4 linked regions of the Oreochromis niloticus genome follow. The protein of the gene in region 2 interacts with the protein of the main gene of each other region in a biochemical or structural test. Links are inferred from orthologs where the notes say so. Each region holds a gene or a part of one and is shown on either strand. Other genes may lie near its edges. The genes, in order: ube2j2, uba1, ube2s and ube2z.

Region 1 (8,117 bases), on a different chromosome or scaffold from region 2:
AATTCAAGACATAACGACTTTCAGCATTTCAACTCAGAACTGTGCAAACTTTTGCCTTGTATACTGTATTTCCATTTATGTTTGCACATGTTCCAAAAATTGCTGCACCGGTGTCACTTTTTTAGCAAAATATAAAGAAATGAGGACTGGCTCCAGACTTTTACACAGCACCGTACATTTTTTTTAAAGCTCTGAAAACAGAATTAAAACTGCATCCACTGCTAAATACAAGTGAATCTGTTCATCTTGGAAACTACGATTCAATTTTGTTGGTGTAAAACAGTAGCCTGATTTTACACATTAAATGTTTAGTTTATTATTTTTCTACAGAATATACACAGGTTTTAAACTTTGCCGATGGCCCTAAACACCCTTCCCTGGCCGGACATCAAGAGTCAAAAAGTCCCAATATTTCCTGACTGAAGAACTTACCATTCTAGGATGTTGGAGGGAAGGGGCTCTGCACAAATGTAAGGCACGGGGTCTTTCTTTATCCTGAGGTAATCCTGCTTAAGTCTCTGCGTGGCTGTAGTTGGAGCTCTTTTGTTCCCGTTGTTGTTCATCTGATGATTGAGAGAACATGAACAGTGAGAAAACAAAAACAGTGAATTGCATAAATCTGGTTTTACACTGACATCACTGTCCAGATGTATTCCTTTACATTAGGAAATCAAAGCATATCCTGTTTTACTATGGATCTGAACTTTGGACTGCATAGATTTGAATGACTGAATGAATGAAGGAAGAACTCTGAATGAATCATTCTGGCTAGTGGAAAGCTTTAACCCTAATATGCCTGTGAAAGGTAACTGCAGCTTCAACTAGAGCAGATCAAAAAACTTTGCCTACAGTGCATCCAGCACTGTCACCTGACCTATTAAATATCAATACTATTAAATATTTGATAAACTCTTAAACATATCACTGCAAATATTATTTATATAGTACATTTCATTTCACGTAGGTTAAATGTGCTTGCCACAAAGGATAAAAATATTTTTTAAAAACTATGTAGCTCTACAATCTCTTAAGGCAATAAAAACAACATAAGAGAGATAATGGTAAATGGCCTGTATTTGTATAGCGCTTTAGATAAGTTAACAGTCACACACACACACAAAGTTATTAATCATATGCCTGCAAGAATAAAGCGGCTCCAAGTTTGGTTTTGAATGTAGACACAGTTGGACCTGACATCAGGTCAGTGGGAAGGTTGTTCCAAAGAAGAGAACCATTATAACAAAACGTACCCTCAGCAAACTTTCATCTCATTCTGGTAACAGTTTACAGACTTGCACCTGATGACCTGAGAGGTCTAGTTAGGTTATAGACCTAACTAGACCTCTCAGAGTCAGAGATGTACTGGGGGTCAAACCACTGAGTGCTTTAGGAACAAACAGAAGGATTTTAAAGGCATTTCTGTATTGCAGTGGCAGCCAATTAATTTCGAACAAGCTGAAGTTATCCAGCTGATGATTTGGATAATCTTGCAAATACACCATTAACCTGGCTGATATGAATGGATGGACCATTTCCCAGTTGAGATAAGAATTTTTTTTCATATGGTTATACTGTTAGAAAGTTGTATATGCAGTTGTGTTGGCCTTATTAGTATGATTATTAATGCTAAGACCACTGTTCAAAATAATGCTAAGGTTCCTAACATGTTCAATGTGTTTCAACTAGAGTGATATCGGGTTGAATAGTCTAACAGTGTGTTAATTTACAACAACAACAAAAGCAGAGAAGGGCAGTAAAATCTCACACTGAACAACACGTAACCAGTACAGGCTTCTGTTTATTTATTAGCAAATGCTAACGCTAACTGGAGAAACAGGCAGAAATAGCTCAATTTTGGCTGCAGAGTGAAGTTTAAATATCAAGTGATGACTTCCCCTCTGTTTTCCTAAAAGATGAAGTTGTCCAATTAGTACATCTTACAAAAAGCACCGAATTTTAAAAACAATTTATCCCATCTCTCATTGTTCTCTAATGGCGCTGTGACTGTTTGTTTTATAACTCATGCACAGCACTGCTGTGGTGCTTTAATGCTATATGCATACAACACTGCCTCGCCAAGTGAAAAAGTAAGCATTTAGCAGAGAGTGGAGTATAGTAAGTATTGCGTTCAAGTTAAAATACGCATTGTGCTCCAAATACTTACACAACGGATATAAATGTACTTTAAACTTTCTTCCCCTGTCAACCCATGTAATTGAAAATTACGACAACAACAGACACTGTCAACTGACCTGCTGTCACGGGGACAAACGCTGACATGTAATAAGCAGTACGTGGACCGCAGCAGTGCTAGAATTATGTCATTATCGCTTCCTAATAAAGAGGAAGGCTTCTTAACGCAACTTATGTGGCTGAGGCTAATCCGCTACTTAGCGGCTAATGTTGCATTTCTGGCACATTCAGTGCCTGTCATAAAGTCTGATAATCAAATAATAAACAACTATTACGGACCAAGCTTCGGCTACAGAAGGACTGCATATGTGTCTGACCACTCTTTAATCACACCACATTTTAATCAGTAAAGCCAGTTCAGGAAGACTAGCTTGGCACGGTGGCTTTGCTAATGCTAGCCGGTGTCGGTTCCTGTTTGAGTGCATTTTAGAACAAGCGGCTAACGTTAGCCAACGTAGGCCACTGCTAACCGGCTAATGTTAGCACCTACTAGCACGAACAGTTGTATTGTATATTGTATAACGACAGCTGACCGCGACATCTCTCGCTTTTATTAGTAACTACGGGATGTGTAGTGCACACATACCTCTCCAGAAACCCCAACGAAAATATGTATTCGTGGCTGGACACGAAATAAGGTTGTTGTTTCTGTTGCCAACCCCAATCCGATAAGACGATGACACCAAAGTAGCTTACGCTATCGCCAGCAGGAGGAAAAATTACACTTCCGGTTTTCTTCTTCATCGCTGCTGTAGCAGTCGAAACATTACTTAGCAAGTGCTTTACTGTCGCTAGCTGCCCAATCTCGATCCTCCTGGAAGTCCAGTACCGTCTTACAAACACGGTCACCCTTCAATAGCTGTCTTTTAGTCATAACATCCGTACTTACATTTGTAGTCAATCGCCAAGTAGCACTTGACACACTGCACAGCGGTCTGTCTGATGCGAGGGGCTCAGAGGGCCTCCCGGTACTTTATGCTGGTGCTTAAATTTGGATTTGAAACAAAACACGGACTAAACAACATAAAACATTCCACAAGACATTTAATAATTTCAGTAGATTTTTTTTTATTTGACTTCTGCCATCAGCTACAAAACACTTAAAATAATTTTATCAGAAATTTCATCACAAATGCTGAACAAATAGGTATAAAAGGATTACTTCACTTAATTTAAAGGTCAAGTTTAATTTACTCATCATAGAGAGCGTCATTAAGCTTATGGAAATATTTGCATAAGCATTAGCAAACACAGTCAAACCCGGATTATTTTATCTGTGTTATTTTTTTTTTATTTTGTTGGTGTGCCTGTGAGACCCAGGGTTTGGGGAGCTCGACTGCTTCCTGAGAGGATTTTTTTTTTTTTTTTTTTTAAATTACAGTAAATAACAATCATCACCTCTTGCATTGCACTGTTCTCCAGGGAAAACTCGGGTCCTGAGAGTCATGAGGACTTCCTTGCACATATGACCATCTGTCCAAAAACTGTTGCACATAAAGAAATTGTACTTCCTGTTGGCAGAAATAGGAACACAAAAAAACAAGCCAAGGCACTGACCCAACCTCCAGGCTCCCCAGATTCCATTTTGATGATGCATCTACATGATGTCCTATCCAACTCAAGCTCCAGAGGTCCCATTGTTCATGCTCAGACAGGTCCAAGGTTGAGTTGACTTATTAGTTGGACAGGTTGAGAACTGTTTTGTTGTTATATCTCTAAAGGTCATCAAATGTTAATGTCAGCTCTGCTGGATGACTAACATTATCAAAACTGGAGTAAGTCAGCTAAAACATCAGGGCAATAGAAATGTTTGGCTTTGACCAAGTTTATTTACGAGAGAATATTACAACTATTACAAGTCTGCTGTAGTTTTAACTTGTCCCTGCTGGAATTTGACTTTTCTTTTTTTCATTCCCAGAGCATTCACTTTGCAGGACCAACATGTCTTCTAATCGAACGCAGCAGCCTCCTGCCTGATTCCAAAGTGACTGAAGAGAGGTCGGATGAAGTGAGGGGTCAGCAGTGATCACTTTGGCTTCTTACAGCTGCTGAACTGTAAGCTCCTTCTTCTCAACTTTTCGGGATGGAGAGACGCGAGGAGAGAAAACTCGCGAAAGACATCAGTGAAGGAGATGTCACCTGAAACAGTGGACACTAAAGTCAAGGATCTGTCCCGATGCAGGGCACCATGGAGAATTACCAACCTTCTTTTAGAATATGCGATACATTACCGTGAAAAAATCTTGAGACACCACTCATTTCTTTTTTCTTTTGGTAACACTAATCTATGCCTAATACTGTTTCATTGTGAGTTTTTCTATCTAGCAATGCTTTGCCAGTGTGGTTGAGATCATTGTAAGCATTAAAAATGAAGCTGTCATCATTACATGGTGGGTCAAAATCTGACAGTATTTTTCTGCGTTCATAATTCATTCAATTTTGACAAGATCCCAAACATCACTGGCTGAAATGTCCAACCATGACAATGCTGTAGACACTCACTGACACCAACTAAAAATATAAAATTTGAATTCATCACTCCTTCAAAAATGTCGCCACTGATTTTTAGTCCAATTCTTGTATATTTGGCGTATGTCATTCTTCTTTACCTGTTTTCCTTTCCTAAGAATCTAGCCACTCTTGCACTGAGACAATTTATGATGAGGCTTCATTCAACAGTAGAGGGATCAAATGAAGGGTCAGGTGCATATCTCAGAGCCTGGGCTGGGCCTATGCTGTATTTCTAACCTGTTTCTTAAGCACATGACTTTCAGATTCTGTTCATCTGTTTTGTTTTTTTAATCAAATCCTTTCTTGTCCCGTTTCCTCAACATTTTAAGCGCATGCTGAAAGCCACGTGGACATACGTTAAGTTTCCAGCTAATATCTCTTCAGGAATCACCTCATTGGTGCAAAAATAATGTTTTTATCTACAACAAATGATTTTAACCATTTGTCAGAAACACAGTGACTAAAAATAAAATTTAAAATTGGTTGTTTGGCAAGTTGTCTGTTAAGACAAGCCTGGCACATCCCTGAAGTCAGAAGCCTTTTTATACTTGAATGAATCATCAGTGTTGATTGGAAATTGTGAGGCACAAAAACTGTAGTAAAGTTCAGCAAAAAAGCAGCTGATGAACTTTGAACTATTGACCACATTTTTGAAAATAACATAAAAGTCTGGTTTATTAGAAGCAAATTAAGAAACAAGTGGTGACTCAAGACTTTTGTACAGTACCGTATATAAGCAAGAATATAAGGAAGAAAGATCAGATTAATGCTTGCTTTGCATACCCACGAAAAAGAAAAGTGCCCACAGCCTCATATTTTTGCGTAGCTCCTAAGCCTAGCCCTGTGAATCATGGGATGTACAAGTAAAAAACCTTTATTTCCTCTTAAATGGGATTCCTGGATACTCAATAGCAAGTGTGGAATAGTAGTGGTGAGCATCCTGTCCACTCATGGCTCAGACATTCATTTTTTTTTAACTTACCAACTCGCATTGAATATGGTCAAAATTACAGTTTAACTATATAAATCCTGTATTGTAGTTGTCTTGGCACATCCTCCTTAAGGCAATGTTCCTGTTCCTCATTTATAAGAAAGGGAAAAGACTGGCAGCATTATCACAGCAAATGTTTTCCAAGCTTATCCATAAAAATAGGAGGGGGGAGGGCCACAGAGCAAGAACCTCAAGTTAAAGCGCAACCACCAGAGCAGGAAAAAATCATAGTATCACGCTAGTGTGCCACAGCAAGACAGCCCAGGATGCTTCACTCACTCTATCCCGAACATCCTTAGGTTTTACTCTCCTGCTGCTCGGGGTACGTCCTGTGGTAATAGAAGCAATGATATGTCAGTCAGTGGTTATTTCCTCAAGTGGACATGTGTCATTTGTCTTTAGTGTTAAATCGAAGGAATTAGAGAGGACATTTTATTCAGGGATGGTGTGACAACGCTTGTGAGAGCACATACATGTTTTACACACTGGAGACACTGAATTATTCAAGGCACAGTGTTGCTGCTGCAGGCAAGAAGATGAAGCACTGTTTTAATATCCATAAGACTCTGAATGCTTAAGTTATCCTTAAATAGCAGAGTCTGGAGGGATCCACGTGTACACCTCAGTGATATTTCACAACATGAGACTAATCGGTTTATTGCTTTGAATAAGCCAAGTGCTACCAAAAGTTTGTAAATTGCCAAAGACACACCAGAGTATTCTGTAAAGTAGCACTCTCCCAGCATCTGGCTATATCTATGGATTACAACCACTGCCGTATTTATTATTATTCGATAAATTAGAGCAGCTATCATCTGGAAAAAGAATGCTGGGAGAATGTTACACAGAAAAGATGAGCGAGGGAACAGCAATGAGAATAAGAAGCAGGCAGCTGGGTTAACAGATCCATTTCAGTTTCTCAGTTTTATTGTATGTATTTTGTTTTTTTTCCCCTTAGTGCTTCTAAAGACATGGAAGAGAGTATTCCAAAGATATCCAAATGCCAGTAAACAGAAGAACCCCCGCAAGTAATTCAGAACCGTGTCACAGTTCTACCCGACCGGCTGTTTTTCAAAGACGATGAAAAAACAAACATTAAACAGAATCTGTGACCGAATGCTGAGAGGCAGGAAGTTAGCATTAAGTTAAAATATGCAAGTGTACTATTTACAGCATGTTTGCGCCTTTAACCACTCTTAAGTCAATACTACACACAAATGGACACAATATTTAATACTTCCGCGAGGGCGACAGCTCTTAACAGTTTGGTCACAGTAGCTTCACATCACCCCCCGAGACTGGTTCTACTTGCAGTACATTGAACTATTGCATCTATCAGGCAAGTCACATCTTCTGAACATGTGAGCACCAACAGTGTTTCTACCACTCTCACAACTCAGAAAGGATGGTAAGAGTATCCTGTATATACCCAAAACAATTCTTCTTTTTTTCCTTTTTTAACATGATGTTATACAACAGTGTCAGACACTTTCCCTTTAAAAAAAAGTCTTTGGCAGAGGAAAATAAAACCACAGTATTTAAAAAAATGAAAGAAATGAAAAGAAAAGAAGAAAAGTCACCACAGATTCGTGTGTGGATGAAACAATGGCACAGAGGTGCAAAAAGGAAGAAACTTCTGACACCAGAGAGGTCATATTGGTACATGCTTTTTTTGACAGGACTGCACTGCACAAAGTGATCAAATTATAGAAAAAATATTCATCATGCTCAAGATGCAAAGAAGGTCAAACTTCCAAAAATCTAGCAAAGCATACAGAGGATATTCTTGGCACTGACCTAGATATGCAAGTCCTGTCACGACACGAGTTTTTAAAAGAGGCTCCATAATTTCACCATAACACGAATACTTTCCTGTAATATTACCATTGACAGGAAACTGGAGAGATTTTTATAGTTTCATGTTCCATAAATGGAAGTGAATTCCATGATGCAATTTTACGTTTCTGCATCTCTTCACTGCTCTGAACTATTTCCATGGTTATTGCTCAAATAATGAGTCACTGTCAATTCAGAATTTCCTCAGTACCATCAGAAGTTCCATTGATATGCTTGCACAATCTAATGAGAAGGCGCATGTTTTACTGCCAAGACGAAAGTACTCTGTAATCTAAGGCCATTTGAAAGTTTTCTGACTGCTGTTAGTGTACAATATATCGAAAGACCTCCGTCATAAATTCTGAATAAGGATTTTAGATTGAAATGACAATCATTAACAGAAATGCTGATATAAAACTGCATTCAATAATGCATTGCACTGGTCCTCTGGAAAGATAAATAAAAAAGACATCATTAAAATAGACAATAAATTGACAACAACTTGACTAGACAAGAACAATGTAAAAGCTAAATGATAATTCTGTATATGGGAAAAGTGCACAGTCTTTTTTTTTTTCCTTTACAT
Region 2 (7,661 bases):
TTGGATTTCCTGAATGTTCTCAGAAGCCAACTGATTCCAGTTAATATAAACTGTAGTAATTTTATAATTCACTGCTATGGTTCCATTATAATAAGTACCTAAACTAAAGGCTAACCAGTCCCCCTCATTTTGAAGAGAGGATTTTTAGCCTAGAGAGCAGCTGGGCTGGCTTCAGGCCAAACACAAATCTGCTAGAAAACGAACTGAGGCTGGGAAGAGACGAATAGCATTACCGGTTCTTTCATGCTCACAGAAAGCACAGGTTTGTTTAGATACTTCTTTTGTTTATTTTCCTGGTATTTATGGACACCCAACATCGTTTCAAGGAAAAGAGCTGAATCATTAAAAGTTCACTGCGGTAAACTGAGCAATACCACACAATGGCTGGCAGGTGCGGACACAAGGACCATGCTGTGCTGCAACTAAGTTGTAGATGGCGATGTTACAAGAAAGCTCTAAACAGCAACATTTAATAGCAATGCATTTACTTATGCATTTAGATTTCTGACGCAACGCAATAGTCGCGATAAACCTCTGCACTCGGGAGGGCCGCAGTATTTTTCAAATACATTCTAGGCGCACAAAAAAAAGAAAAGAAAAAAAATCGGGCACAATTTCCGCATCCAATGCGGCGCCAACTTCCGTGCATTTCCCAAGGCACACGTATCAGTTTATAACCCTCTCTACGACTTTAAATCATGAGGACACCTGGGCAAATTTTCATACGACTGCAACCAGCCTAAAATAGCTTTCATATCACCGTTAACCGAACGGTCTCGCTTGTCAAAACCGAAAATGAAGGCGTCCGGCATGATACAGCAAAGCCGCCCGGCTGTTACAGTAGTTTGCCAATCCTACTAGAAAACGTTAACGGGTAGCAGTCGATTTAAAGATCTCAATGTGTAGAAAAATATAAATTAACTGTCAGATAACAGCACCAATAGAAAACTAAGTAGGTTCCGAACCACTAATCGGTTAAGTGATTTGGCAAGTGGACAGAGTCTAAACATTAATAACTTAGAGGGAAGAAAACACCAGCTTGTCAGCTTATCCATTAGCAGCTCGGCCTAGGCCTGCATTACCCTCAGTGCGGAACACAATTTTACAAGCTAGCAGCTGTGGCTACACTCCAACCGACCTTCTCGCACTGGAGAGCAACGGATTTGACAGGCGTCTACCACAGCTTCTATATGGACATGGGTTAATGTCTAGGCATCTAACAAAAAGCACAATTTAACTTTGTCACTTAACATAAACACTACGAATACAAGCCAAGCCACTACACTCGTGCTCCATTGATTTCCCTTTCCTTACCAATAATCCTTCTCGGTCCCTTCCCAATGCGAACCCGCTCCTCTCCTGCTGTGTGTAGCTGTCAGTAAAAACGCTGATTGTATATTCGACGATTTGTACAGAGAAAAGAAACGCGATGCGGAATTGGGGTGGTCTGCACTATATTGTCGAGTCACTATGTCGTTGTGCCGATAGTCTCTCCTATGTAATTGCGCTGCTGGCTTTGCGACTGCAGACAGGAACAAAACCAAAATGGCAGATGGGGAGAAAGGGGCGGAGGAGCTGTGACGCAGGGGCTGAAATATTCAACAGGAAAGGGTGGTTGCAAGCACGCTGCTCATCCAGGTCCTCGGCTCATTGGCTCTTCAAGCCCAAGCTAAAGCGCGTTGATCCCGCCCTCGCTACGAGAGGATGCATGCCAAGTATCTTACTGTACAATGAACAGTAGGATCTCCAATAATCTAGTGAAAAAAAACAACACTTAATGAAAAAAAATAAATAAATAACTCCGGGTATGTCTGAGATCATTGCATGAAAGGATTCTCCCTTAACGGAGCTGAATGTAACTCATCAGTAACAACACCTTTGTTTCAGAGGCAGATTAGCAAGGATCAGTCATCTTCATGTGAACTCCATAAACAAAGCTGAACACCAAACTTGCAACAATGCACCATCATAAAGAACACATTTTACAACTCCATTGGATATACTCTCACTGGAGCACAATTTGCTACATTCCACTTAACACACCAATTGTTTTGACTATTTTCTGAATTCAGCAATTATCATCACTACTCAAGTCGGATAGTGTACGATCCTTATTAGCTAGTGATGCTGAGCGTCTGGGCCTTTTAGTCACATTGAGGTTAGGGGTGAGCACTCCTTGCAGAAGAGTATTGGGGGAGGGGGTGCCTAGTAAATGACAAAGGCCCAGGAAAAAAAAAAAAGAGTGGGCCGCATATACTCGGGTACACATGTCGAGGTGATCCCCTATTCTCATCTTCCAACTAGAAAATGCTTAAGACCCTAGTATTACACCGTTCCCTTTGAACTGAAGCATACGAATATCAATGATGTCCGAATAATAGGCTGCCTAACTTGACAAGCTAAACAGAGAGACTAGCCAGTGTTAGGTTAGGTTACTGTGATAACGCCGATAACGTGCCATCGAAACGGGAACCCTACATATACAATCAGATATACGAGGAAAAAAAATAGTGCCAGCATGTACGCTCGTGATGCCAGTTAGCTCGTGTCTGTCTTTCAACGTAGTATCCATCAAATGTTTGAAGCAACTAGCCTTCTAGCTACCATTAACGTTATTTATCGCCTAACATTAATTAAAGCAGCAACCCCGTGCACATAAAAACGTGCAAATGCTAATTTGCCGTTAACAGTTACGTGTCAGTGCCTTGTTAGCTACCGTTAGCGGAGCAAGGAGCTTAAATGGTTCGCTCAGCCGTCTGCAACTAACATTAACGACTACCGATAACGCACATCAAAAGACTGCGTAGTTGTTAGCTTGTGTGCGGCTAGCTTTCGAGCTATCTAGCCACCCAGCGACTTTTTCCCCTTCTTGTGCCGCTATGTTAGCTAACTAGCTAACATTAGCAAACTAGCTGAGGCTAACATCACCAGGACGAGAGCTTACACAAGTGTGCAGAACTTACCACATCCGATATTTACTCGGCCTGATCTGGAGTATTAAAAATCGGCTTCTGCTTAAGCAAAGAAAAACAACAACCAAGGTGACAATTCAACACCGCCACTGACTGCAAAGTGAAAAGTGTGTCACGGTGGCGGGCTCTGTGTGAGTTTTTTCCGCTGGACGGCTGCCTGTCCGGCTGTTCCCAACCCGTTTCCCCTCACTCTATTTCAGTTGAAAGCAAAGCAAAGCAGCAACATGTGCACGTTACAGGCACAACCATCATTCCGGGTCTTGGGGTTAATTGAAAATGAATAAGATTGGTTTGTGTCTGCTCTGTCTTTTAATTAATCGTTAACGTTCACACATCCCATCCACAAGATAAAGCGTACTGAATATTACACTGCTCTGTGGTTTAGTTGTATATTTAGAAACAAGACTACTTTTGTTACCCCCGTAGCCTTACAACCATGGACTAAACCGAAGTTCACGCAGTGCCTTATGGGACTTGTAGGCATATAGGATAATATAATAGAACGCCTGTCAGAAATCTGCCTTTTGGATAAATGTTGATTAAGCACGTAAAAAACAAAACAACAAAACACGGCTGTAATTCTAAAATGTTTTTTTGAAGAGTGATCAAATGATTTTAAACAACTCAATATATATGCATGTATTTACTGGCTTACTTTTATTGAAAGACTTGCAAACAGTGCACATTTTACATAGGGACAGAATAGTGGAGATCTAGACTTGTTCAGGAGAAAAGCACAGAATCTGGTATTACATACACCCAATAGCAGAACAAAAGTCAGAACAGTTTTATGATGAAAAGGATAAAATAGGCAGGATTGTCCAGTTAACGGTACCAAATGAATGTGCTGACAAAACTGGAGCAAACGAAAACAAACTATCTGGAAATGTTTGGGGGAAAAAGGAGAGAAAATGTAAGTGTTACCGTGTTATTGCAAAGCCTTTATACAGTATATTTTCCCCAGCTCTCTGACAGATGTGGAACAACTCATAAGTCTAAGTGACAGTTTAAGTTTAAATATACTGTTTAATAAAACAAATTTTAATTTCTTGCAACCAGGGGAATGGCTTTATCAAATCAGTTTCACATATTTCTGTACAACTTTGTGACACCAAGCATCACAACAGAATAAATAGCCACATAAATACATAGTAACCCCCCAAAAATAAATCATGGGACGATCTGCTTTGAACAAAAAAAACAAGTAAATGTCACTTTGGAAGTTCACACCATGGAAGAAAAATATGACTTAGGAACCTAGTTTGATTTTGTTTATTTACAGTTTTTAGGGTATAATACTTTATTTAGATCTTTTCTTTCACTGTTAGTTGAGAATTTCGCCATTCTTATTTGTGCAGCTTCATAACTTGGAAATTTGTTGAGTGCTTGGATTTCCATATGAGGTCGTTGTGTGGTAAACATTTAGGCACACAATCTGGATTTAGCATACTTTCTTTAGATCTTAACAAACTTTTAAGATCTTGATCTGTGAAGCTGTCATACAGAAATATATATATTGTACTCCAATCCCTCTAGACTCCAGTGATGAAAGTGTTTGGAATGTCAGAAGGGCGTAGGGTCATCTGGTATGAATATGCAGCCAAACCAAACAACAGTGTAATAACTTCTCTTTTTGCGCACAATTAGGCAGTCCTTCTGGGTGAGACAGTCATTAAATCCTTAAGTTTAACTATGAATACAGTGTTCCAGGTATTTTTGCCTTTGTGTATTGCATCATGCACACCTGCCTCATAGTCCCCTGCCTATCCCAGGTCTTGGTGACTGGCTTGAATGAGCAGGAGCCGCCTGTACATCTCTGTCTTCCTGCTCTCCCAGCGCCTGGGGTGAGGCTTCTGTGGGTGGAGATGGTGGGGGATAGGCAGGAGGAGGAATGCTAATGCGAGGAAGAGATGGCAGCACAGGTCTGGGAGAGGTAGGAAGTGGTGGTGGGGTGCCGGTGGTTGCAGATGTGGACCGCTGTGAGGGGCGTGCACGAGAGGTGGCGGGAGAGGCGTGTGTGCTCCGAGCTCGAGGTTGCTCAGCAGGACAGTCACTGATTTGCTCTAGGAGCGACGGCATGTCTCCCTCGATCTTCTCCAGCACAGCAGCCATTTGCTTTTCTATCTGCTCGATCACACTGTCCATTTGCCAATCGCTTGAAGTGCTGCTCCCCCCACTGTGCTGTAGCCCAGTTCCATACCTCCCTACACCTCCTCCACTTGTATACAGGGAACTGTATGGACTCCCATAGCTCCCAGCCATCCCCATCCCCATAGCCCCAACCTCTGGATTGTATGGTGTGGCATGACGGCCCAAGCTAGCAGAGCTTCCAACTGCATAGCAAGCCTGTCCCGGTGTAGCACCTGCTCTTGGTATGCTAAACTCAGCGCTGTATCTATCTGTTCTTCTGGCATTCCTGTCCTGCCTATCTACTGGACTGGCATCGCCCCTTAGCCTGACTCCTAGTCCTCCATCCACCCCTGTACCTGGCCCCACTGCTGGAGTGACTGGCGCCACCACAGACTTCTCTGCCACCGCTTCAGGTATTTGTGTCTGACACCAACTTCCGTCAGTCTCATCCTTTTGCTCGCTTTGTGTGACTGGTCTCTTCAGCGGTGAGGCTGATGCAACAGCGGATGCTGTGTGTGAAGGGGCATGAAGTGTTGCAGCCATTTTACATTTGCTGCTGGGATCAGGGGAGGACGATATGTGTTTTTTGTCAAGATTAATGCCCGAAGTGCTGTCTAATAGCTTTGAGGCCTCAGGGCTCACCGCAGGCGTCTGTTTGAATTCTGGAACAACTTTATTTTGGCCCAAATTTGCAGCCATTTTCCTGGTTCCGTCACCTGCTCCTTTCTTTACACCAACCTTGTCAGGCTGTTCCTGGGTACAGTTGGGGACCGCATTTGATTGACAGAAAAGGTCCTCTACACCTGATGGCGAAGTTCCTACAGATGGGCCTATATGCATCTTTACCTCCTCTTGTTTTTCTCCAGCCTTAACTGTCTCTTTACTCTGGTCCATACCAGAGGGCATACTCTCAATAGTAACTTCTAAAGACACACTACTTGATGTCACCCCACCATCACTCGTCCCTTTCTCTCCCTCATCACTTGTTCCCTGCGACGCACCCCCTTCACCATCCCCTGCCTCCTCACTACCCTGAACCTCAGCAGAGCTATCAATCAATGCTTCTGAATTCTTCAGGCGTTGCATGAATGTGGTGACACGGATCGCTTTCTGCGAAACAGACAGAAGTAGAAGAAAAACAAGAGAAGGATGGTTAGAATGAAAAGAATGAGATCTGCAGCACATTTAATTTTCGTTAAAATATATTTCCTCTTCCCCCCCCGCTAAAAAAAATAAATACTTTGATAACATAGTTATGGAAAAGCTTAAAAAATAAGCTTCAAGGACAAGCATTTGACAAAAAAGCCTGTCAACACACCATGATTTTAGCAACTTCGTACTAAGAGCTGAGATATGATTTGTGTGACATGAAGGTAGATTAGTGCCGGTTGTTTACTTCCAGAAGGCTATGACATATTGTGCCCTGGTTTAAATCAATCTCAAGTCTCACCCTCCCCAAGAAACTCCTTGAGTGCTTGCTGACTGGAAAAAGTAATCAAGCAAATGTGTATAAATCCCCTTCTTATAAATGTTACACCGATCTGATTCCTTCTGCTCTACAAACACTGAAGGAGTCAGGGGGGAATGTGTGAGCTTAATAACTGCTAATAAACCAGGGAAACGAATTCCCTTGAATTCTCTGGAAGTGAAAAGCCACTAGGACACAAAAATGCTACAGAAAACAATATCTCTTAACTGAGAAGCTTTAGTATTGCTTCAAAAATGATTTAAATGTAACAACAGTATGGGACAATGGGCCAGGATTCACGTAAGAGGAATGCCAGAGGGCCTTACAGTATAAATCACGGCAGTTCATAAGTTCACAGTGGCTAAGAACCCTTTTGTCCTTTCCATTTAACCCTCTCCTTATCTACACTAATTTAAATACTACAAAAGTAGTGAAGAAAAAAAAACTTGCTTCTCTGTTGCTTATCTCACATTTGCAGATCTGGATTCATAAACTAGTGCAGATGAGGAGAAGGAAAGGAGTAGAGCAGGCCACTTTGAACATCTGGGTGTAATCCAATGACAAAAAGTGGGGCAGAGTGGATGGATCTCTTCTGGGACAGGCAGAGTGACAGTGGGCAGGAACAGAGCTTGGGAAGAGTTTCAACGGCCCCTGACATGATCAATACATCTCAAAGCTGACTTGGGTTTAACATTTAATATAACATTTTTTCCAAACTGATTTTTATAGAGATAGGTTCTGATAAAAATCTCTTTTTAACTTAAAAGCATATTTGGCTATCAGAGAGATGCGTTATTGAGTCATTCTGGACTAAATGTGAGTTTCTCCCCACGCTCTGCCCTTCCACTGTCCTTCAGAATGAAAAACAATACCTTTAATTCCTGGGAACCACATGGAGAAAGAGAGAAGAGGATTGTTGCTGTTACTTAAGCTGTTAGGTTAGCATTGCCACCACTTTCCTTCTTTGTCTTCACCAGTCTCATCCCTGGATCGCCTTATCAGTTCCACCATGTCATTCACAGACTTTAAACATACCTCTGCTGAGTTGTGTTACGAGCTAAAAGCACATTAAGACCCTGGTCTTCATCTGG
Region 3 (7,625 bases), on a different chromosome or scaffold from region 2:
ATGCATTGTATGGTGAGACTTGAGATTTCTACATGACTGCCTTATTCTATTCTGAAATAGTGGACAATGATGTTTGCAGACGACATTGTGATTTGTAGTAAGAACCAGGAGTAGGTTGAAGAGCTGAAGAAAGTCAGTAGAAGTATGACTAAACTAGACTAGAGAGGTGAAAAGGTAAAGTTTCAAGGAGCAGAGGTTGCAACGTTGGATGAGTTTAAATACCTGGGGTCACATCCAAGACAACAAACAGTGCATAAGAGAGGTTAAGAACAGACAGTGGTGGAGATGAGTGTGGGGGGTGATTTGTGACAGAAGGATAGCAGCAAGAGTAAAAAAAAAAAGGCTTACAAGATAGTTGTGACACCTGCTGTCATGTCTGGTTTGGAGACGGTGCTACTGACAAAGAGACAGGAGGCTGAGCTGGAGAGGGAAGGCTCAAATGGTTCGGGGATGTGCTGTGGAAGGATGGTGGATGTATTGGACAAAGGATATTGAATGTGCAGCTGCCAGGCAGGAGGAAAAAAGGAAGTCCACCACGAAGATTCATGGATGTAGGGAAGGAGGACATGCAAAGGGTTGGTGTGTCACAGGAGGATGTTAGGGGCAGGGTGAAATGGAGGCAGATGATCTGATGTGGCGACCCCTAAAGGAAGGAGTCGAAAAATGTATGTATTCTGAAATTATTAGCAAATTATTATTAGCTCTTAATAAAAATTTTCCCTATTATAAAAGAAAGTTAGAACTTAAAACAATTTAAAATGGAAGCAAGCAAATCCATAAAGTGAAAACTGTAAATTTTCAAATTTACATTTTTGCAGAAAAAATGTTAAATCTGTCTATTTTTTATTGAGATAAATGTATTTATTTGCAGTTGTGCAGGAAAAATTTTAATGGTTGGATGGAAGTCCAGTTTAGGAAAATCAATTTTGTTTAATGTGTCTAATAGAATAACAAAATCATTTTTAGTTTTAAACAGATTTTTGAAATATTTTTACAGACTTTATGGCAAGTAATCTAATAGATTTGTTAATTACTGTAACTGTTAGGGTGACAAAATCCTAAGCTTAGTCTTACTGTAGAGGCTAAGCCTACGCTTGAAGCCACTGAGGTACTCAATGACAGGGATGTCACTGGTATGCATGAATATATTTAACTTGATACAGTCCAATAACTCCAGCCTTACTCATCTTGTCCTTTAGATTCTTTATTTCCACAACAAAAAACTCAAAAAGTGACCTTTAGCGGCATACATAAGGTATCAACCCAAATGACTCCTACACTTATTTACATAAACTCCTACTACTGTAAAGGTGACTTGTTATGCTTAAATATTTAAATCTATCTATCTATCTATCTATCTATCTATCTATCTATCTATCTATCTATCTATCTATCTATCTATCTATCTATCTATCTATCTATCTATCTATCTATCTATCTATAAGATAAGATAAGATAACCTTTATTAGTCCCACACGTGGGAAATTTGTTTTGTCACAGCAGGAAGTGGACAGTGCAAAAGTTATGAAGCAAAAATTAGAATAAAATAAAATAAGAATAAATACAGTACACAACTGTACAGAATAGAATAAAATAAAATACTATATACAGTAGAATAAAATAGAATAAAATATACAATAAGATAAAAATAGAATACAAATGCTATATACAACTATCTATCTATCTATCTCATAAAATATGGCAGTGTTTTGGAGTCACTGAATCACCTCTTTAAACTTGATTATAGACAGTGGGACAATTTTGGCAAAAAGGTCAAGATTTGGTCATGATGACCTGTCTGATCGAGCATCAGTATGCGGAAGAAGGGTGATTTAAGTGACTTTGAACATGGCATTGAACATGCATTGGTGGTGTCAGACAGACTGGTCTGAGTATTTCAGAAACTGCTGATCTACTGGGATTTTCCCACACAACCATCTGTAGGGTTACAGAAGATCCAAAAACAGAGAAAATATCTAGTGATCAACAGTTCTCAAATGCTCAAATGTCAGGGGTCAGAGGACAACAGCCAGACTTTTTCGAGCAGATAGGAAAGCAATAGCAACTCAAATAAACCACTTATTCTAACAAAAGCATGCAGAAGAGCATTTCTGAAAGCACAACATTCTTAAAGCTACAGGGCTACCGTTACAGAAGATCATACTGGGTGCCACTCCTGCCAGGTAAGAACAGGAAACTGAGGCTACAATTAATGCAGGCTCACAAAGATTGGACAATCAAATACGGGAAAATGTTGCCCAGAGTCTTTCTGCTATAAACATTAAACACGAAAGTACAAATCCATCCTGCCTTGTCTCAATGGTCAGGGTTACTGCTGGTGTTGTAATAATGTGAGGACATTTTCCTGGCCAATTTTGGGTACCAACTGAGCCTACCTGTGATTATGTCCATCCCCTCATGACCACAGTGTGCATATTTTCTGATGGCTGCTTCCAACAGGATAACACACCATGTCACAAACCTCAAATAATCTCAAACTGGTGTCTTGAATAGGGATGGGTATCGAAAACCGGTTCTTGTTGAGAACCGGTTCCCACTGTTTCAATTCCTTGGAATTGTTTGCCATTTTTGCAAACGATTCCCTTATCGATTCCAGTCGCCCTGAATGACGTCACCACGTTGCGGAGCGTCATTTACCTGGCAGGGCGCCTAAGCGGCTCAAACGCTCAAAAGTTTGATTATACTTTACGAGAACGGATGACAACAGGGCAACTTGCAATACTTGCAAAGTAGATATTTAATTTAAGGGAGGAAACACTACGAATATGCAAAAGCGTTTGCTCACAAAACACGCGATAACCTTAAATGAATGTCATGTTTTTAATTCCGCTCCGGACTCGTGAATCTCAACCCAGCAGCAGCGGTAATGTTTGCACGTCCTCTCCCGTTAATACGGCAGGTAAATAATCAGCTAACAGTGCATATTATGTTAGCGCGATCTGCCTTATTACAAAACCTGCCATTACTGTGCGCTGCATTTAGGCGACCATGATGAGAGAGACAGAGTCTGGCTGGCTCAGATGCTGGCAGTTCTCGCTGCAGTCTACCGGTAGTGTCTCCTTTCAGGCCAGGATAGACGAATGTCACCGAGCAGCCTTTTGTGGTCAAAGGCTTGCACCCATTTGCCACAGCAGATGCCCCCGATTTTCCGTAAGTGAATGTGTTTAATTGTAGGCAGGGACATTACTGGATATTCTTGTGTAATTGCTACAGAATAATTTATGTTAAACTTTGTAAATGTAAAATAATAAAGTAAATATTCTTCTGTAGCAATAACAATTTTTTTTCCTGGGGACCCTGTGACACCCCATTGAAGAGCCGTAGGCTGTGGATCTCTTAAGATCTCACTGTTGGTTTTGTAAGGCCATGTTACTCCTAAATTTCTATCTTGTTCAAAGAGAAGATATAAAACAAAGTTCTAAGCTATTCGACCTTAGTGTTCTCCTTTTTTAAAAAGAATCGATAAGAGAATCGATAAAGAATCGAATCGTTAAACAGAATCGAAAATGGAATCGGAATCGTGAAAATCTTATCAATACCCAGCCCTAGTCTTGAACAAGAAAATTAGTTCACTGTGCTCAAATGGCCTCCACAGCCAGTTTACCTCAGTCTAATAGAGCACCTTTGGGCTGTGGTGGAAAGGCACATTCACATCATGGATGTGCAGCCATGTGCAGCAAATCTGCTTCTATTGTGTGATGCTATCATGTCAATCTGAACCAAAATTTCTGAGGAATGTTTCCAGCACCTTGTTGAATGTCATGAAGACTTAAAATAGTTCTGAAGGCAAAAATGGCTCCAGAGCAGTACTAACAAGGTGTAGGTCACCTAAAAGTGTGTCTGGTGAATAAATGTTAATTGTGTTGTTATTTTTGGTGGTGTATTGCTCAGGCACGTTTCTGTCGTACACGAATACGAAAAAAACTGTGTGTGTAATTTTAGTCAGTTATTGTTAGATTAGAGTTAACTTAATTAACCAACATTAAAGGAAACCTATCATACAACGTAACAAAAGTGATCCCGCTTATCAAGTTAAGTATTTATCTATTGAATAAATTAGGAAGGCTGGTTTAAACAGTGGGCGTTTCTTAATTTTGGTGTTCAATGTAGCTGATGCTGATCTTTCAGTATCGATTAGATTTGAGAGTTTTTTAAATGGACCTATCGCTGGCGTGTATCAGATGTACTTTTCACTCTATGTGACTGATAGGGCTTTTTGTCGTGACGCAGCTCTATCGCTGCATTTCGATTGGTTTGTCTCTTCTGACGTTTCACACCACTATGCCGCTCATTGGTACGTGCTTTAAGGTTCAACTGAGGATCGTATTTTTGTTCCTGTGTCAACGTAGAGAAGAAAAGAAGAACGGCGATCATCAGCCAGCCGGCTAAGTTTTCATCGAATATAGTTTTTCACTCCTCTAGACTCTATTAGAAACGGTTCTTTATATCTGACACCAGCCAGACACCCACCACCCAAGCAGAGCTCCTTTTTGAAGATGGTAAGATCAACCTCTTAGCTAACGGCTAATGGGAGACACTGCTAGCTCTAACCGATTTTAGCTGTCGAGTTTTTTTTATTTTTCGATTTTTATGGGCGGTTGTGTCTATTTGTTAAAAGTTAATGCGTTTATTTAATGTCTTCAGATGTATATTCGTGTAATTAATAAGTACCTTCATACACAATAGAAACTATTACCACTAAACCAAAAGCTTCTTTAACACGAACTCTAATCGAGGCATTTGCTAGGCTAGGTATGCTAACGGTAACATAAAGTTAACATTGCCCGTCGATTGCTTAACTGATATTAATTATCTACTGTTGTGCCTTTAAAGCATACTTCAAGTTGATCAAGTTATAACTCCTCTGACTTCTGTGAGGATGCTTAACGTGGTGCGGGGACCGCTGGCTCGATGATGAAACCGTAGCTCCCCCAGAGGAGCTCCAGCTCATGTTCATTACGTAAATACGTGTTAAAATTAGGAAGATAATGACTAGCAAGCGCGCATTACATAGAAAAGCGTGTGTAAAATGATAGCAGATCCGCAGAGGAAAATGTAGATGGTCTCAGGTGGTACCGATGATAGATTTTTCATCTGCCATATGGCCGATCGACACATTATTAAAATGTGTGAAACGAAATCATCAAAGCCATAGAAAAAAATTATGCTTTAGTGTGTAATTAGTCGATACCTACATAATAAACATTTTGATAATGTTAAATTTACTTCACTCACACTCGCTGTATATTAAAGAACAGGTGTCCGGTGTGCTAACAGACCAACATATTGAGGCAGTGTCATATTTATTTGTTAGTCCAAGTTTAGGAAAGTAAACACGTGGCTGTTAAATGTTTACATCTACTGAGACATTCCTACAAAGGTTTTTGCAGTAAGCCAAAAACTAGGTGTGAAATAAATATTTGAGTAGACTGAAATACAAAAGAAAGTGAAAATCAAAATGTAGAGGAAATAGCCTTAGCTTTAGCCAGTTTGCTTGTCAACATAAACTGTCTAATGCTGCAACTAAATATTTTCAAAGATTAAAAATGAAAAACTAAAATGAGCGAACCCATTCTGGAAATTAAACGAATGCTTAAAAATAAAAAGTCAAAACATGTGGAAAATATAAACTAATTTTTTTTTAAAAAGTCCCCAAGTCAGCTGAAGTAACACTGAATGGTGTAAGACAGTTGTTGCTATAGAAAAGGGAAATAAATGTACATTGTACAAACTATCACATAACAATATAGAACAAAGTTTAGACCCCTTTTCTGCTTATAGGAAGTTGGGGGGAAAAAACGTAATAAAATGTGCTTCATTTTTTTCTGGACATTCTTGATGTCAAAACTGCATAATTTGTTTAAGTCTACTTCTCAGCATTAGTAACACATCCCATTGTCCTACACAAGGATATTCTTTTCTTTTTTCTGAATCTGGTGATCCTATATTTGTTGAGTTTTTTTCAGCTGCTTTGGCTAACATGGCCTAAATGTAAAGCTTTATCTTAACAGTACCTGAGGTGAAGTTAGGGCCTTCATTTTTCCTCATTCTTAGTGAGAGTACAGCTTGATCATTCCTCTCAGCGCTGTTGCTAAACCATTGTTATGTCTCTCCAGAACTCCAATGTGGAGAATTTGCCACCTCATGTTCTTCGCTTGGTCTACAAAGAAGTTTCAGCTTTAGCAGCAGATCCACCCGAGGGCATTAAGATTTATCCCAGCGAAGAAGACATAACAGAGCTTCACACAGCAATAGAGGGACCAGGTAAGGATTATGATATGGTGTCATCACTTCACACTTAGAGCAGGACCGACACAACTCTTGGGAGTAAACTCACCACGTGTATTTGCTGTATGGTCTTTTGATAAGTTAGGGCTTTAGACTCTCAAAAGTTTCTTTAAGATCTCTAGTTTGAATCAGATTTGTCAAGTTTATCCTGACTCAAAATATATTTTATCATAAAAGTTCAGTACAGAGCATTTCGTATTTCATTAAGTAGACAAATTGTCAGAGACTGACGAGTAAAATATACTTAATGAAACCATACTAATTGTATTACTTCTTTCCTCGAATAGCTAATGTGGAAATTTATTTTCAAAATCTAAGTTATTCAGTGATAAAATATCCTAGTTTAGTCACCTTGCAGCTTGTATTTTCAAGGGTTTTTTGTGTATTCATAAATATATTATCTCTCAGGGTTTTTCCTGCATGCAAAAATTTCTAGGTTTCTATCAAAAATATTTTAGCCCCTTTTCTTTTTAGACTGTATTTTATTTACTTCAACATTACATGCATTCTTGTTTTTTAAAATGTCCAGAAATAAATTCAGATTTCTGTTAAGTAAGGTGACAGAGACTCGCCGCCTTCACTGTGTGCCAGGCAGTCGTGCTAGTGTGTTCTGGTCATTAATCAAAGGGTCACCAGTGTCCAGGAAAAAACCTGAGCTCTGCGTCATGTTTGCAGCGAACTGTGCATTTAAAGTGTGTTAGTTACTTCACCACTCAGCATCCAGAAAAACAGCTTTATACTCTAATATTTAAAGGCTGAGAGTTTCTTATTGATAGCCAACTTTGTATTATCAGCTCAAGGTAATAACATGACTGGTGATGGCTGAGCCGAGTCAGCTGTCTGCTCCATGATTTTTAGGTATTATGTGGTTAACTATTGAAGCTTAAATGGAAGCCATCAGCTTTCATGGAATCTTTTACTTACCTGTACATAATTTAGTTTTTGTGCCATTAATTTGTAGAATAATAAATCCTCAATGCCTGTTTTACATTTCTATTTCCCATTCGTGGATCCTTCAAAATTTATGATGTCGTGTAATCACTTAAATTATGGATTTTGTGGGTGTTGTTAATGTCATGTGAGACACATAAGCCACTTGAACTATCATGATATCTTGCCACTATGCACTCATTGCTTCAGACGTTATTTTTAAGTAGGCCTTGAAGAGCCAGACACTTGTCCACATTTTCTACTCCTCCACAGAGGCCCGTCGCTGCATCAGTTTCATTTATTGGGCACTGACATTTAGTATTTATATCTGATTTCAGATCAGGTAATTCATTATGTTAAAGCGGCAGTACAGTGTGTTTCATAAC
Region 4 (8,050 bases), on a different chromosome or scaffold from region 2:
AATTTAATCTAGAAAACAACTGACTCGCGCTGAGTCATTATCAATTTTTTTGACTCGGATCTAAAGGTTTTTCTCCATTAGTTAATGGTTGCTGTCAGCACCGGTACAACTCTAGTTGAATGGAAAACACTGAGGTAGTCACAGTTTAAAGGACTCTTCACTTCTCTGTTTTGCACTTTTTACAGCTATACCACTTTTTTCAATTCAGTTTTATTTATATAGCGCCAATTCACAACAACAGTCACCTCAATGCGCTTTCAGTACTCCAGAGGAAGTCCAGTGCTGATCCTGATTTGCATCAAGCCCAGGAATAAGAAGCCTACTGAAATCTGATTGGCTATCAAGTTAACATGTTAATGATGTCAAAGGATGGTAAATCTCTGTACTTTGCCTTTTACCTTGGTCATGTCCTGAGGATCAGGGACCACGAACATCCCTGGTGGAGGTTCCTTGTAGATGGACATAATATCCCTACAGACAAAATAAACAGATGAGGTTTGTGAAACACTGAAAAATGGAGAGAGAACCCACAAAGAAATATGCCCCTAAACATTCCAGCAATCCACTAGTAAAACAGTATGCCCTGGAGGTGAATGATCTTAATATTTTCAGAAATCTATTATAAAAAGTACATTTAAGTACAGTACTGGGCCCTAAAGTTGCTCTAATGTGAAGTTTTCTAGCATACTAACGCAGTCATTAAAAAAAACCTACCATAGTCAAGTTGGCAATTATATGCAGTGTGTTTCTGATAATACAGCAATTAACAGTGATAAACTGCATCTGTGTTCAGCAACCCTGCTGTTCTTTAGGAATGAAACCAAAATACAACCAGCTGAGTCGAGTCCTCTCGACTTGTGACAAAGACTCATTCAAACTGATACCAACATGTTAACAATCTGTTTGCTTTAATACATTAGACGGGAATTATTTACCAGAGTTGCAATGATGCTAGAACTTCCAGGAAAAGACTCGAAGGCAACAAGAATGTTCAAGCTATCAAGCTGCATAAACAGGTAAATTAAGTGAAATTGTACATTTCATTAATTTGGGTCAAGCGATTCCTTAATAACTTTATTTTTGTTTATTAAGCAACAAATTAATGAAATGTTAAAAATCAAAGAAGTGTGTTCATGTATGTGTAGGTCAAACTAAAGCAACATCTTTAAACATAGGCTGAGTGCGCTACTGTCTAAAATACTGCTCAAAGGGTATCTCTCAGTTTTCTGGATTTGTTTACCGTAAGACTGGTAATCTCAATAAGCCGTCTCAAAAATCAGGTTATCAATTTGCAGAGTTAAGCCTGCATGTTTGTGTAAACCAGGTGGTGTTGGCAACATTTTACCAATCTAAAACAGGAATTTCAAAGGCAATGTTACTCTTTTTCCACAGAAAACGATCCCTATAAATGCCAACAATTCAATCAGCAATATTATTAGATGATGATAAAATTGTGATTAAAAATCTATAAAAAGCATAAAACTTATAACAGCAAAATGCAACAACTGCAAAGAAGACATGCAGTTAATGCTGCAGAAAATTATTAATCTGGTTATTTAGCACACAAAGCCCTATAAATAATTAACTGGAATTTAAATGTTTATTTATCACTGAGTGCACTCTCAGTGCTGGTGTTTATTTCTAAGGTGATGGCTACACGTTAGAGCTCTGAAACTTTGAACTGGTCCCACTAATCCAGGCTTAGTTAAACATATCTCACTCAAAACATGTCACAAATAAAAGACTCAGTGAAAACGTGATGCTTCCAGAAAGTTTTAGTTTTTATTCTTTCAGCTACAGACTCAGTGGTGTTGAAGGGTTTGAAGCAGTACAGTGTAAGTGTCCTGTTTTAAGATCATTAATCCTTCTAGAACAATAAAATTGCTGTAAAACTGTCTGCTTCTAACATTAAAAAATACAAATAAAATAAAACCATGGAATAAAGCTGTATCTAAGAATCTATATTTATTACTGATGTGAAAGCCAAAGACGTTACACGCTATTAAAACAAAACAACAACAACTTCAGACCCTCTGTGGGACCTTCTAGGAATGGTGAATTTTCTGGATAACCGATTCGTCAGAAGGCAACGATTTCACACCTGTTGGTCTCTGATCTCGAACTTGACCTGCTCTGGGGGAGGTTAAGTTACCATGGCGACAAATCCTGGTACGAAGTTAACCCGAAAACAGATAGTGAACAGAAAAGTAACCCTGTGGTTACCTGGTTCCGACGAAATCTCGCTTCTTATTACAGACCTCTAGTTTCCCAAATGTCCCCGTCAAATGTGACGTTTTAGATGCTGTTAAAAACTTTACGGAAAGATTTCACTTTCGATTGCAGGTCTAGATTACATAAATATTCCCACCTGCGTCAGATTTGTGTGTGATATGTTTCCTAGAATTACCTCTTTATCCTCAGGATGCACTGCTGGGAAGCTTTTTCGTTGTCCCAGTCCGTGCTGAGAGTTGGGTCCCAGGAAGTGGCATTGATTTGAGAGAGGAGGCCCGCTCCTGCCGCCCCTAGCCCAACACCGGGGAGAGGCGAGGAGGCATGCAATGTGGGAGACACGGCCACGACGGGTGGTGAAGAGCCGGGAGTCAATGTGTTCCCAAAACTGACCGGGGTAGCAGTGACAGCGGACATAGGGGCCACCACAGCTGTTAGGCCACTCTGCGCGGTGGCGGCAAGAGGCGGAGAGGCCGGGTTGGAGCTGGAGTGCACACCGCCAGTTGCCGACATTCCCACCGGCAGAGAGTTAGACAAAATCGGAAGCTGTGAGGCTCCGCTCCCCTGTCCCGTAGTAACGTCTAAGCCTAGGGCACTGCTGCTGGACTCATCTCCAAAGCTGTCCGCCATGGCCCACAAGCTAGCAAGCTACAGTAAACCCGTTGGTGTTGAGTAATTTATATTTTTCTCCTGCGCAGCATTGACAATAGAGTTTAAAGATAACCTGCTTCCTTTGGTGCCCAACGCGGATCAGACAGCAAAGAAACCGGGCAGAGGCGAGGCCAGAAAGCGAGGCAATTCTTCCCAAGACATAATGAATATTTATCGTTAGCTTGACTGTCTTTACCCCCAGGCCTCCAAAAAAAACTGCTCGGTCTTCAGCAAAATTGCAACGTCACAGTGTTACGGTTACCACTGCCCTCTGGATACTGGTTTAAACCATTAAATCCTCAGAACATTTGGTTTATTACCAACCACATCCCTACCAGTCTTTTACCATCGCAACTTTAGGAGCTTGTATTTGTCACCAGTTAAGAACACGGAAATAATAAAGCCACGGCACATCCGGGCAAAAATTTTCAAAGTAAAATTCCTGAAAATTAAAAAACAAAACAAAAACAAAAACCAAAAAAAAAACCAACCCACCATCATTTCAGCTTTTGCAGCTAGCTTTTGAGCAAGGCCATGCTCAAAATTTGCAAAAGAATGGGAAGTTATTGTGCCCTCACAATCAACTGTCCGAGTTTGTGATCCACTTCTGCATCTGCAGAAAATATCTCAGTTTGTCTCCTCCTTTGCCTCTGTAATCTAAAACAGAGATAATATGTCTTGGATAATTTTTAAGATATTTTTGTACTTTTTAAATATACTTTTTTACGTTTTTTTAAAATTTGGAATTGGAAAATGAGTTGAGCTGAATGCTTCCTGTCAAAGTTGGTTGCCTATCCAATGCATGGACTCAGCCCTGTAATAAAATCAAGACTTGCATTTTTTCTAATGGTCAGCACCTGTGAAGTATTGTAGTTGCAAAAGCTAAGTCCCGTTCTATGAAAGTCAGTTTGGAAAACAGCCCTCAGCTCCCTTGACCTATAATCAGAGTAAACACTTAATGAGTAAGTAAAAAACACAGTAAAGAGCTTAGGCAATAAAATTAGATCAGAAAATGAGCTTTCTCCAAAAGGTGGATAGGGTTTCCCTTAGCAATACGGTGAGGAGATCAGTATTTGGCAGGGGTTAGGAGTAGAGCCGCTGCTCCTTTACATCAAAAGGAGCCAGCTGAGGTGTGTGCCTCCTGGGTAAGGTGTTTCAACCGGGCCTATCCTTACGGTAGGAGGTCCCGGAGTAGACCCGGGACCTGGAAAGAATATATCAATTATATGGCCTGGGAATGTCTTAATATTTCCCCGGATAAGCTGGAAGAAGAAGAATCTGGTGAGAAGGTCTGGCGTTCCCTGCTTAGGCTCCTGCCCCCACGTTCCACCGTCAGATAAGTTATCGAAGATAGCTTTTTATTGTTTATTTATTGTTTTAATATTTTAGATGTTAACTTTTATTGAAGTGGTTGTCTTGAGTTTTCAAACAGTGTGCATCATTCACAATGCACGGCACATAGTGCCACAACTTTCAGTCGCATTTTATTTGTTTTTGGCTGTTAATTTTTCCCATTTTAATAATATGTTAAGATCTTTTGTAGTAACATATTTGTGTGGATGCCTTTGAGGGCATCCACACTATTGAGTTCCTGTTTCTCTTTATTGTGTGGATGCTGGAGGCTCTTTAAACTTTATTGTGTGGATGCCCTAAAGGGCTTCCACACTATTTGTGTGGATGCCCTAAAGGGCTTCCACGCTATTGAGTTCCTGTTTCTCTTTATTGTGTGGATGCCCTCAAAGGGCTTCCACACTATTGAGTTCCTGTTTCTCTTTATTCTTTATTGTGTGGATGCCCTCAAAGGGCTTCCACACTATTGAGTTCCTGTTTCTCTTTATTCTTTATTATTATTCTTCTAGTTGCTTCCGTACACTTTTTGGACTTCAACTACTCCCTCAGTTTTCAGCCGATTTTCTCAGTTCAAACTATACTGTTCTGCCCTTTCTGCTCTTTCCGGCAATGACTTTTGGTGTTTATTACTATCATACTTTTTAAAATATTACACTTTTTTCCTTTAATTTGTCCCATTGAAATGAATGGAAAACTTCCGCAATTCTGCTAAAACTTGCTTGTTTTTGAAACTTAACTACTTCCTCATACTTTCACCTAGAAACTCCATTCAAACTTTAAAATGTTCTCAGATTATTGGGCTATTCCTGTCTGATTCAGCTTTTTCAGATCTTCTACTGTTTTAATCTTATCCCTCTTTAAGTTTTCAGTTGCAAAATTTTGATTTTTCAGAAAATACATGCGTTGTTATGGTTGCTATGCAATTAACTCAGAGTGGACACTCATCCATTCTGAATTTTCTCTTCATGTTCCAACAACTTCTTGCTACTCGCCCAATTTCCACTCAAGCTCCACATATTATACATCAAAACGTAGGTATTTTTGCTGGCTTTCAGAAAAAGGTCACTATCATTGTTGTGGGAGTTATAGATTTTTTGCAAATCTCCTCAGAGTAACACAAAGTCTGAAAATTGTCTTTAGAAAGTCAATGGAGAGTTTGTTCAAAATCACCGCTGTATTTGTCTAATGAGAGGCATTTTTAAATCGTCATATCTCCTTAACGAAACAAAGTTGAGACATGAGGCTTGTGCAAATATATCTTCAGACAGTCCTGATGCTCACAATTCAAAAAGTTTTTTATCACCTATTACCGTTTGGCCAAGAATTACACTTGTTTGAGAGTAGGAAATTCATGCCTTGCTCAGATCTCTACAGATTTCAAACTCTGGAAATGAGGCACTTTTTTCTCTCGTCATATCGTTTTGATGGATTTCCACAGAGACCTGAAAATTCCCATGACTGTTCACCAAAGCCTGCTGTTTCTTACGGTGAAAGAATGATTTTGATGCTCCATATAGATTTAGAGTTACAAAACGTTGTTTGAGGGCAGGTCAAGGCAGTTTTGCTTTGCCTCTACTCAGTTACAGTGTATTACAAGTCATATATCTTCAAGAATTTATATTTTATCTCTGAATTATGAAGACCTGCAGATTTCCCCATCTCTTCTGAACAAAACGGTGTCAGAATGACCGTTCTAGCTCCTACGGTTAGGAAATTATGGCCATTTGTTCGAGGGGAATCCTGAATGTGAGAAATACACTGAAGGAAACCCATAGCTCTCTGTGTGTCTGTGTGTGTAAGTGCTGATTACAGCAGGTGCAGCCAATTTAGCTGACCTAGATATACCAAGCCCAGACTCTTAACAGCCCCTGTACACTTTGCTCTCTGTGTATGTGTGTGTGTGTATCAATATCTCTCCCATGTTAAAGTATTACTCCTCCATAATAGTATTTGTGCTATATCAAAGTACTTCTACTACATTTTAGTACTTCTGCTCAATCATAGTATTTCTGCTAAATCATAGTATTTTTGAAAAATCATGTTGTTTGTGCCAAATCATGGTTTTGGGGCAAAACCATAATATTTATTTCATGTTATAGTATTACTACTAAGTGGAGGAATGTCTGTCATGTTATAATATATGTGCTGATTACAGTATATCTGCCAAATCATAGTATTTATCTCGAATCATAGTATTTATGCCAAATTACAGTATTTCTACTAAAAAGCAGAAATAGTACCTTTTAGCAGAAATTTCTGTCAAAAGATATTAGTTATGTTAAAACATAGTATTTCTGCTAAATCATAGTATTTCTGCCAAATCATAGTATTTGTACTAAATCATAGTACTTGTGGCTATTCATAGTACTTGTACCCAATCGTATTATTTCTGCCATATCATCATATTCGTGTCAAATCATAGTATTTTTCTGCCAAATCATGGTATTTGTGCCAAATTATAGTATTTGTGCCCAATTAAAATTTCAGAATCAGAATCAGAATCGTGTTTATTGGCCAAGTATATGTGCAGACAAATACAAGGAATTTGGTTCCGGTAGATGGTGGCTCTCGAGCACAGCAATGTAAATCACACACAGACACAGACACACACGCACCCACACACACACACGTATCTATATATACATTACACATGCATACACATACATACACAAAGCTGTGTAAACCAACTATAACTAATCTAAACGTATATACATAAAATACAGAAATGAAATGAGGTGGAATGAATACTACAGAATGTACATAAGGTACAGTTACAGTCTGGCAGTGGGAGCAGTGTGACAGGTCAACTGTTTAGAAGGGAGATGGCGAGGGGAAAGAAACTGTTCCTGTGTTGGGTGGTCCTGGTCTGCAGGCTTCTGTACCGTCTGCCAGAGGGCAGCAGATCAAAAAGTCTGTGTCCAGGGTGTGAGGGGTCTGTGATGATTTTCCCTGCCCGTTTCCTGGTTCTTGAGAGGTACAGATCCTGGATGGAGGGCAGGGGGGCGCCGATGATCCTTTCTGCTGCCCGTACAGTCCGCTGCAGTCTGCACCTGTCCTGTTTAGTGGCTGCACCATACCAGACTGTGATGGAGGAGCACAGGACAGACTCAATGACTGCAGTGTAGAACTGGATCAGCAGCTCCTGTGGAAGACTGTACTTCCCCAGTTGTCTCAGGAAGTACATCCTCTGCTGGGTCTTTTTGAGGATGGAGTTGATGTTGGTCTCCCACTTCAGGTCCTGGGAGATGGTGGTACCCAGGAACTTGAAGATCTCCACAGTCGACACAGGGCTGTCTGATATGATGAGGGGGGGCAGAGTTGAGGGATGTCTCCTGAAGTCCACTGTCATCTCTACAGTTTTAAGAGTGTTCAGCTCCAGATTGTGCTGACTGCACCAGAGTACCAGCCGCTCAACTTCCTGCCGGTATGCAGACTCATCACCATCCTGAATGAGGCCAATGACGGTGGTGTCATCTGCAAACTTTAGGAGTTTTACAGCTGAGTTCTTGGAGGTGCAGTCATTAGTGTAGAGGGAGAACAGTAGTGGTGAGAGGACACATCCTTGAGGGGCACCAATACTGAGGGACCGAGTTTCAGAGGTGATCTCCCCCAGCCTCACTTGTTGCTTTCTGTCTGTCAAGAAGCTGGTGATCCACTGACAGGTAGCTGGAGACACGCTGAGCTGGGAGAGTTTGGAAGAGAGAAGTTCAGGCACGATGGTGTTAAAAGCCGAACTAAAGTCCACAAACAGGATCCTGGCATAAGTTCCCGGGCGGTCAAGGTGTTGCAGGATGTAATGCAGCCCCATATTCACTGCATC

Evidence for each region.
Region 1: of the proteins of uba1 (region 2) and ube2j2, one has a biochemical effect on the other in vitro, tested with the Homo sapiens proteins (2 studies listed by BioGRID). The link is inferred for Oreochromis niloticus from reciprocal best matches to the Homo sapiens genes UBA1 and UBE2J2.
Region 3: of the proteins of uba1 (region 2) and ube2s, one has a biochemical effect on the other in vitro, tested with the Homo sapiens proteins (8 studies listed by BioGRID, with this or other methods). The link is inferred for Oreochromis niloticus from reciprocal best matches to the Homo sapiens genes UBA1 and UBE2S.
Region 4: of the proteins of uba1 (region 2) and ube2z, one has a biochemical effect on the other in vitro, tested with the Homo sapiens proteins (3 studies listed by BioGRID). The link is inferred for Oreochromis niloticus from reciprocal best matches to the Homo sapiens genes UBA1 and UBE2Z.

The regions. Positions count from the first base shown.
Region 1 is NC_031970.2:26,352,399-26,360,515, reverse strand, and holds the start of ube2j2 (ubiquitin-conjugating enzyme E2 J2), read right to left. Parts: upstream 3,218-8,117; 5' UTR 3,083-3,217; intron 3,039-3,082; exon of another isoform or gene 2,780-3,038; intron 564-2,779; coding exon 433-563; intron 1-432. UniProt on the Homo sapiens protein: Catalyzes the covalent attachment of ubiquitin to other proteins. Seems to function in the selective degradation of misfolded membrane proteins from the endoplasmic reticulum (ERAD).
Region 2 is NC_031984.2:18,166,310-18,173,970, forward strand, and holds the start of uba1 (ubiquitin-like modifier-activating enzyme 1), read right to left. Parts: upstream 3,188-7,661; 5' UTR 2,964-3,187; intron 1,554-2,963; exon of another isoform or gene 1,315-1,553; intron 1-1,314. Other genes in the region: camkvl (caM kinase-like vesicle-associated, like), read right to left, coding at 4,722-6,212, 7,443-7,451. UniProt on the Homo sapiens protein: Catalyzes the first step in ubiquitin conjugation to mark cellular proteins for degradation through the ubiquitin-proteasome system.
Region 3 is NC_031976.2:22,315,003-22,322,627, forward strand, and holds the start of ube2s (ubiquitin-conjugating enzyme E2 S), read left to right. Parts: upstream 1-4,290; 5' UTR 4,291-4,517; coding exon 4,518-4,520; intron 4,521-6,137; coding exon 6,138-6,285; intron 6,286-7,625. UniProt on the Homo sapiens protein: Accepts ubiquitin from the E1 complex and catalyzes its covalent attachment to other proteins. Catalyzes 'Lys-11'-linked polyubiquitination.
Region 4 is NC_031969.2:1,108,401-1,116,450, forward strand, and holds the start of ube2z (ubiquitin-conjugating enzyme E2 Z), read right to left. Parts: upstream 3,294-8,050; 5' UTR 2,860-3,293; coding exon 2,408-2,859; intron 472-2,407; coding exon 399-471; intron 1-398. UniProt on the Homo sapiens protein: Catalyzes the covalent attachment of ubiquitin to other proteins. Specific substrate for UBA6, not charged with ubiquitin by UBE1. May be involved in apoptosis regulation.